Linked DNA regions of Macaca mulatta. The protein of the gene in region 1 purifies or fractionates together with the protein of each later gene. This does not show direct contact. Links are inferred from orthologs where the notes say so. Each region holds a gene or a part of one and is shown on either strand. Other genes may lie near its edges.

Evidence for each region.
Region 2: the proteins of PSME3 (region 1) and PSMA4 fractionate together in Homo sapiens (co-fractionation; 3 studies listed by BioGRID, with this or other methods). This does not show direct contact. The link is inferred for Macaca mulatta from reciprocal best matches to the Homo sapiens genes PSME3 and PSMA4.

Annotation. Positions count from the first base shown.
Region 1 is NC_133421.1:67,183,361-67,187,693, forward strand, and holds the start of PSME3 (proteasome activator complex subunit 3), read left to right. Parts: upstream 1-1,304; 5' UTR 1,305-1,539; coding exon 1,540-1,581; exon of another isoform or gene 1,582-2,088; coding exon of another isoform or gene 2,089-2,163; intron 2,164-2,251; coding exon 2,252-2,284; intron 2,285-2,374; exon of another isoform or gene 2,375-2,408; coding exon 2,409-2,471; intron 2,472-2,665; coding exon 2,666-2,770; intron 2,771-4,333. UniProt on the Homo sapiens protein: Subunit of the 11S REG-gamma (also called PA28-gamma) proteasome regulator, a doughnut-shaped homoheptamer which associates with the proteasome. 11S REG-gamma activates the trypsin-like catalytic subunit of the proteasome but inhibits the chymotrypsin-like and postglutamyl-preferring (PGPH) subunits.
Region 2 is NC_133412.1:56,687,159-56,691,571, forward strand, and holds the start of PSMA4 (proteasome subunit alpha type-4), read left to right. Parts: upstream 1-1,455; 5' UTR 1,456-1,581; intron 1,582-2,936; 5' UTR 2,937-2,959; coding exon 2,960-2,962; intron 2,963-3,208; coding exon 3,209-3,251; intron 3,252-3,517; coding exon 3,518-3,680; intron 3,681-4,413. UniProt on the Homo sapiens protein: Component of the 20S core proteasome complex involved in the proteolytic degradation of most intracellular proteins. This complex plays numerous essential roles within the cell by associating with different regulatory particles.

The DNA.
Region 1 (4,333 bases):
ACCCTCCTCACCCCCAGCTCACCAGTCTTTGTCTTCAAGACAGTCTCTTTCCTTCCCTAGAGCATTTGCTGCACTTATACGTCTCAAGGCTCTTCTCACTCTTTCCATGCTAACCCCTTTATGTCCTTTAGATCGCAGCTTGTCTCTTGTTCAGAGGCCTTCCTTGGCCATTCGATCTAAAATAGATCTCTGGTATTTTCTATGTCATACACTTGTTTCCTAATATTTATCAAATTTTGCAGTTACTTTGTCAGTTTACTTTCTGGTGTTTTTCCAATATTATGCCCCATGAGACCAGCAACCTTGAATCTTGTTTGCCTTTGATTTCCCAGAGCTGTGCTGTTCAATACAGAAGCCAGCAGCCACATGTGGCTACTGAGCACTGTACTGTAAATGTGTTATTTTCTTATTGAGATGTGCAGTTAAGTGTAAAATATGCACTGGATTTTGAAGACTTGGTATGAGAAAAGAATGCATAAGATCTCGATTTTTTAATGTTGATTACATGTTGAAGGACTTGGATAAATTGGGTTAAATATATGACTAAAATTTTCACTTATTTTACTTTTTAATTGTGGCTAATAGAAGATTTCAACCTACATATGTAACTCACATATTTCTAGAATCTGAGACAGTGCCCTGGCCCATTTTATTGAATGAAATATCCAATGTCGAGAGAGAGATCGAATGAATGGGTGTATGAAGAGGTATAGTCTTAAGCTTCCATTAGGCAAATAGATACAGCACTGCCATAGAAGTTAGGAGATCTGGGTCCTGGCTCAGGATGTACTGGAAACGCCTTGGACAAGTCTTGCCCTACTCTGGGCATCAATTTGCCCATTAGGTAGTTGATCTTTGAGGTCCGGAAGCTTACGACAGTCAGTTGGCAGGGAAATGTACCAGGAAAGCTTGGTACAACCGCACTTGTGTTTTTCGCTCTAGCCTAAACACTTGAGCCTCGGCAAACGGGCAGAGGCAGCGGGAATCAGGGACTACACCCCCGAACCCAGTACCCGGGTCCCCGACTTCCCCGAGCCTACGTCACTGGGGCGCGACGGCGCTGTCCCCGGGACTGCAGCGACTGAGGTCCCTTCGGTGAAGGCGAGTTCCGGGCCAACAGAGAGGGTCGCACCGTTTCCGAGTCTTTCGGAGGCTCAGTTCTCAGCGCACCATTCCCCACAGCTCTCCTTTTTACTTCACCCCTACCCAACACTTTACCCCGGGGAGCATCCAAACCCGAGTCTCATCGCGGCTGCGCAGCGCACGTGCACAGCCTCGCAGGAGTCTCGGCGATTGGCTGTGACGCAGTTTCCGGCGTGAGCGGCGAAAGCCGGGAGGGCGAGCGAGAGAGCGACCAGGCAGCAGGCTGCCGGCGGGCGGGCGGACGGCACGGAGGGAGGGAGCAAGCGAGCAGTGAGTGAGCCAGCGAGGGCGGCCGGGTCCCGAGGTCAGCCGAGATTTCTCAGGTCCCTCCGGCCCCCTCCCTGGAGTCCACAGCGCCTCCGGTGTCCAGCGGATCGGACACGGCCCGGCCCGGCCATGGCCTCGTTGCTGAAGGTGGATCAGGAAGTGAAGCTCAAGGTAGCGGCACCGGTCCGGCCTTTTTGCCCCTCGCTTTGATCCCCCAGCAGTCTGACTGGCTTCCTACTCCCCATGTCGTCTTTGTCTCCCTGGGGATACCAGCTCTGAGCTTCCGCTCAACTCAGCCCAGCCCCCAACTCCCGGGGTCGGCTTCGCGGGAGAGGAAAATATAGGATGGCTTTCTGTACCGCGTCTGATGATGGAGAGTCCCGGGGACACCTCCGCGGACACGTGTTGGACTCAGGGCTTTAGGCCAGTGACAGCTGGAAATCCCCCAGCCCAACAACGTCCCTGGACACTGCCTCTGCCCTTGGTGGCTGGCCTGCCTGGTATCATAGGCCAGGTCTGGGTGGGGGTTGGCACGTTTGTGAGCTCACATCTTTCCTAACTACCTGTCTTTTGTCTGCTTATCAAATTCAGACAGCTTCAGACACAGGAGGGAGGGAGGGGAGAGGAGAGAGGAGACAGGCAGGTGCTGCCCTCAAAGCCCTGCTTTCTTCTCCTGAGATGGAAAAATGGATCCTCAAAAAAATAAAGTATTTGCAGTCTGGGGGCCTCTCAGCTTCTTATTACAGTTACAAGGTGAGGGAAAGACAGTTGGATTTGGGATTCTCTATCCTGCTCTTACCTCTGTCTCCAGGTACTGAATTGCTCTCTTTGTTAATTTTAGGTTGATTCTTTCAGGGAACGCATCACAAGTGAGGTGAGTGAAATAAATAGAAAAATGAGTGTTGGTTGAGAGTTTCCCAAAGAGGAGATATCTGTAGAGAGAGAGAGAGAGACCTTCCCACAGATATTAATTCAGCTATATTTTCCCTCCTCCTTAGGCAGAAGACTTGGTGGCAAATTTTTTCCCAAAGAAGTTGTTAGAACTTGATAGTTTTCTGAAGGTGAGAGACCCTTTTCTTTCCTCAAATTCCCCTATTTTTTTGGCCCTGGTATTACTGTCAACTGGAACTAATTGTGTGTTGATTCTTCTTTTTATTTTTTTAAACTGTAAAAGCGCTTTCATTTCTTGCTCTTCAATCAAATACTTCTTTGTTCAGCTTGAAAAGATTAATGTTTTGGGGTGGGTGTCTTTCAGGAACCAATTTTAAACATCCATGACCTAACTCAGATCCACTCTGACATGAATCTCCCAGTCCCTGACCCCATTCTTCTCACCAATAGCCATGATGGACTGGATGGTGTAAGTGTCCTATATTTATCTTTGTGTTCTTGAGCAGTAGGTCCTCTGTCCTCTGTTTCCTTGTCAGTTTAAGATGTACAGAGGCAACAGTGGGATTTGGATCTGGGAACTAGGACTGTTACAGACATGATGACTCTAGTATAGTTGTTTTATTTCTTATTTATTTATTTATTTTTGAGAAAGGGCGTCACTTTTTTTTGCCCAAGCTGGAGTGTAGTGGCGTGAGCACTGCTCACTGCAGCCTGGACCTCCCAAACTTAAGTGACCCTCCCTCCTCAGCCCGCCAAGTAGCTGATACTACAGGAGTGTGCCACCATGCCCAGCTGATTTTTGTATTTTTTGTAGAGACAGGGTTTCACCATGTTGCCGAGGCTGGTCTCAAACCACTGAGCTCAAGTAATCCACCCGCCTCAGCCTCCCAAAATGCTGGGATTACAGGCGTGAGTCACTGCACGAGGCCTCCGGTATATTCCTTTTAGACCCTGAGTTTCATTTACGATGTGAAGTGAATGTGCTAATGCTACTCTCAGTGTTAGAGTGAGTTTCAAATAAAAGAGAACTAGCTTTGGCCAGGCGCGGTGGCTCACACCTGTAATCCCAGCACTTTGGGAGACTCAGGTGGTTGGATCACGAGGTCAGGAGATGGAGACCATCCTTGCTAACATGGTGAAACCCCATCTCTACTAAAAATACAAAAAATTAGCTGGGCGTGGTTGTGGGCGCCTGTAGTCCCAGCTACTCGGGAGGCTGAGGCAGGAGAGTGGCATGAACCCAGGAGGCGGAGCTTATAGTGAGCCGAGATAATGACACTGCACTCCAGCCTGGGCAACAGAGCGAGACTCTGTCTCAAAAAAAAAAAAAAAAAAGGAGAGAACTAGCTTCATCAGGTTACCTGGTTTTTCCCATGGTTCTGAACAAGACTTAACTTTGTTTCTGTGTCTTGATAAGTGTTATGGGATATGAAGTTCTTGCTGTGTAACTGCAATCGCTGTTTTGCTGTACATCTTTAACAGCTAGTCCTTATCAGTCATGTGTCCGCATGCTACTATAACACTGATGATACTGAATTGTTGTCTGTAGTACCGCCTCATTGACAGAACTTGTACGTCTGGAAGGCAAGAACTACCTTTTTTTTTTTTTTTTTTTTTTTGAGACAGTCTCACTCTGTTTCCTAGGCTGGGGTGCAGTTGCGCGATCTCAGCTTCCTGCAACCTCCCCCTCCCGGTTTCAAGTGATTCTCCCACCTCAGCCTCCATGTAGCTGAGATTACAGATGCGCGCCACCAAGCCCAGCCAATTTTTAAATTTTTAGTGGAGACAGGGTTTCACCATGTTGTCCAGACTGATCTCGAACTCCTGACCTCAGGTGATCCACCCGCCTCAGCCTCCCAAAGTGCTGGGATTACAGGCGTGAGCCACCGTAGTCGGTCGGCAGGAACTATCTTAATCTTTGTATTCCCAGCACCTAGTGTTGATCCTGGTCCATAGCAATTGCTGAATGCATGGTTGTTGACTGAATAATGTGTTCCTTTGTGGAACCAGAAGATTTGTACGTATTCCCTTA
Region 2 (4,413 bases), on another chromosome or scaffold:
CTCTGACTTAAAAGTTACTGTTCACTGAATTCTGCAGAATGAACTAAGGTGGCAGGCAGGGGCCCTCAGAGATGCCATACGTTACACCACCTGAGGATGCTTTCAGAGCACCACCTGTGTGTGACTCTTTGCCATCTTGCCTTGGCTCACTTCCCTGTGTGCTTGGAAAGCAGAGATGATAGGTGAGACCCCAAAATGCAACTTCCAAGCCATCTCCTTTTCAAAGCCCACATCCCCCAATTATTTTGCAACCAACATGAAGAGGACAGAGTTTCTGCCCAATGGGTTGCTTTTTGGGAGAGACTGAGCAGATGACATCATATGAACCCAGATCTAGTCAACCTTCTAGCCTGAAAAAACCTGAAATGAATAGTAGATAGTTTACATAGGGACTGAGGCTGAATGAGCAAAAGGGTGGAGAGATGGATAATGAACACATAAACAAGTATGACAATTTCAGTAAAGAAGATAAAATGGTGCAAGTATATGCTGACAGTAGGGTATTGTTTTAACTACGCTGGTCAGGGTAATCCTTTCTGACTGGTGAAAAGCAGAGAAACACCAAGTGAAAATTCTTCTAAAAGTGTGAACCTGACCATAATTTTTTTTTAATTTTTAGAGCCAGAGTCTGTCTGTCACCCAGGCTGGAGTGCAGTGGCGCGATCACAGCTCACTACAGCCTCAAACACCTAGCCTCAAGCCATCCTCCTGCCACAGCCTCCCAAAGCAGTAGAATTACAAGCGTGAGTCACCATGCCCGACCATCATCATAATTTTTTTTTTTTTTTTGAGACGGAGCCTCACTCTGTTGCCCAGGCTGGAGTGAAGTGGTGCACTCTTGGCTCACTGCAACCTCCGCTTCCTGAGTTCAAGCGATTCTCATGCCTCAGCTTCCTGGGATTACAGGCGTGCACCACACACCCGGGTAATTTTTGTAGTTTTAGTAGAGACGTGGTTTCACCATGTTGGCCAGGCTGGTCCCGAACTCCCGACCTCAGGTGATCCACCCTCCTCGACCTCCCAAAGTGCTGGTGCTGGGATTACAGGCGTGAGCCACCCAGCCTTCCTCATCATAATGTAAATGTCCAAAATGTATACATCAGCAGTAAAAGTGAAAGCCAGAATGAAAAAGGGAGATGATGACAGAGGTAAAGTCTCATGTGATTGGAACCATTTCGGGAAACAGGACAGGAATGGTAGCAATTAAGAAGCCGGTCCACACTATTTGCTATCCTAGGTGTGAATAGTGAAGAGAAAGTGAAAGTAGAGCGCCAAGGGTAAGAGAAGGAAATTAGTTATTCCACCTTCTGGTTGGCTACGGTCTTCCTGCCTTCCTCCCCATGGCGCAGCAACTCCTCCACCTGCTGCAGCGCCCCAGCTCCCACGAGGGCCACGGGTTCTAGCTCCGCCCCACAAGGAGGACTTCCGTGTCCTCGGCCATCCCACTACCCCCTCCCTTAGCGGTTCTGCGCAAGCGCGGGGGCCATATTAGCAGCGGTTATTCGGGCAGCCCTGGTGGTTTATTTTCCCGCGGAGATAAGGGCTCAGTGGACATCTGAAGTCTTCAGGGTCTTCCATCTGGTGAGCCTTTGGCCCCTGGGGGCCCGCGGAAGCATGGCCGCTCTTCCCTTCGGCGGGGGTAGTGAACGTCAAGACAGTCGGTCCCGGCCTGCAGTTGCCGCCGAGGAGCCGTGGGCACGATGACTCTGCACCGCCTCCACGGTGACAGACCAGCCGCCGGGAATGGCCCCCTCCGGCCGCCGTTGGAGGCTTCCGCGTGCCGAGCCTGGACGCCGGGGCCCGGCGAGGGGGCGAGCTGAGGGTGGGGGTCTGTGGGCAGGACCGAGGACTCGGGGCGGCTTCCGTCCCCGGGAGTTCGGTACGTGAAAGTTAGCGCTCCCGGAGGTGCCGGTGAACTCAAAATCGTGCTGTGACCGGCGTCAGGCGTGGAGACCACAGAAAGTTGTGCTTACGCTCGAATCAGAAATCCCCGGCGAGTCTCTCTGTGTCCTACCTGTTTCTCTGCTCTGGGCCATCCTTACTTTGCACCTTCCTATTACCTCAACCAGTTCGCTGCCCTCCGTCTCTCACGAGCCAGAGGGATCATTTAAAATGCTAATCAGTTCTTGTGGGCCTTGGGAATCATTCCGTGGAGCCCCAGTGGCTGAGAGAGAAAATTCTGTTTTTACCTGGGCACGCGGGCTCTCCAGGATTTGATTCCAGCTTACCTTTCCAGTCTTGATTCCCTGTATTCCAGTATTTGGGAATGTGGGCTTTGGACTGAGGCTTTACCAAATAACACTGAGCACCCAGTATTGCCTTTTGCACGAATGGTACTGATGGTGCCCAAGATAACTGCCTCCACCCCCAAGTTCAGGACTCTCTGGAGAAGGCCTAAGTGTCTTAACTTGGCATTCAAGGCTCCGCGGGATTTGGATACTCGCTTAGCTCTTATTTATGTATTTTTAAAAACATCAGCAGTTTGTCTCATGCCCACTAAGCTATCCTGCCTCAGTACCCTTTGTTCATACTTTCTGCTCTGTCTGGAGTGCCCTTCCCTTCTTTCTTCCCCTGTTCTTTCTCTTAGACCCAAGAGTTCTCAGCCTTATTTCTGCCTCTCCCGTCTCTGATTTACTTTCATTTTCTGTATCGGTTTCTCAAAAAATACTTTCTGGATTTTTTTCATCATCCCTTTTCCCATTCTACCCCCGGTTCCTTTTTCTGCATTATAATCTATGACTGCCTCTCTCACCTAACTGCCAGTATTAGCTTTTCAGGACAGGAATTGGTTTTACACATTTTGGTATTCCAGCATCTAGCATAACGCCTGACACTTAGCTGAATAAAGGGAGTAAATAAAACTGATTTGTAAAGTCAGCAAATGCTTTTTAATTTGTGAATCTTATTTTAATGATGATCTGATTTTCTTTTTACAGGAACTATATAAAGTTCAGAAAACATGGTGAGTTAATACATGTGCCAGTAAACTGTTGCCTGATAAATAGTATTGCTTGTACTCAGCTTACAGTCTTGTGTGGGAAAATTGAAATAGAAGGAAAGCAGTGAGATGGTGCCTTTTTTCTTGTCAGTTTCCTCTCATCTGCTGAACTTTGTATACCAGGATAGGTTTTGTAAGGTGATTTGTAGGCTTGCAGGAGTTGGCCTACTTTCAGTGGGTAGGAATCACTCATGTGTTTTTCCTTTGCAGTCTCGAAGATATGACTCCAGGACCACTATATTTTCTCCAGAAGGTAAAATAGAAATTGTTTAATCTGCCTCAAGTTTAAAAAAAAAATGTGTTAGACTTTTAGAAAAAAAAAAATTACAAACTTTTTTTGGTAGTTGCAAAGTTCATCCTTTTTGTACTTCGAAGCAATTATGGTCACCGGGTTGATTATACCATAGAAGAGTAAAAGTGGGAATTTGTTTCTAGCTTGCTTCCTTGCTAATTTCTTTTGGGTCAGTGGTGCAAGAGCATAGAGGAGAGTCTTGGCTTCTCACTGCTTTTGTTTTGTAGGTCGCTTATACCAAGTTGAATATGCCATGGAAGCTATTGGACATGCAGGCACCTGTTTGGGAATTTTAGCAAATGATGGTGTTTTGCTTGCAGCAGAGAGACGCAACATCCACAAGCTTCTCGATGAAGTCTTTTTTTCTGAAAAAATTTATAAACTCAATGAGTAAGTGAGATTTTAGGAAAGAGTTTTAAAAAAAATCTCACTTTCTCACATAAGTGGGATCTATGTAATTTGGGAGGGCTTTTCCGTGTGATGTGGTAGGATTGAAGTTGTACCTTTATTTTGCTTGAAACCTCTTTGAGGCCTGGTACCATGTGTTACTCCTTTTAAGTGCAGGGCAAACACTTAGTAGAGAAACTAGCATTGTGTAGTGGTAAGAGTACAGACATAGTAGTCACACAGATTTGGGTTCAACTCCAGGCTTCCCCCATGCAGGCTATGTGATCTTGCACAAATTATTTAATTTCTTTGGGCCTCAGAGTCTCCTCAAGTGGTTGTGGCAGTTTAATGAAATAAAATGAATGAAATAAAATAGTATAGTGTCAGGCATATAGTAGGCCCTCAAAGTATTGTTTAGAATAGCTATGCAGGATTTTGTTGAATTATACTGAATCTTACTAAAGAACAAGCCTGTTGGAGATCTGGGAAGAATTTAGCCAAGCCTTGTACACGGTGTGAGATGTTGGTTATATTTAGATGTGCAGAACTTTGCAGCTCATGGAGAGCTGGCCATGCTAAGTAGAGACTTTCCCTTCAGTGATGGTAGGCTTGGTAAATGCTGATTATCAGGGCCTTTGGATACACTTGTCCAAAGTGGTGTCACCCCTCCACAGAGCCTCTGTTGGGCTCACCCAACAGCTGGCACACTTGGCTAGGCATAGTCACAGGGTGAGTC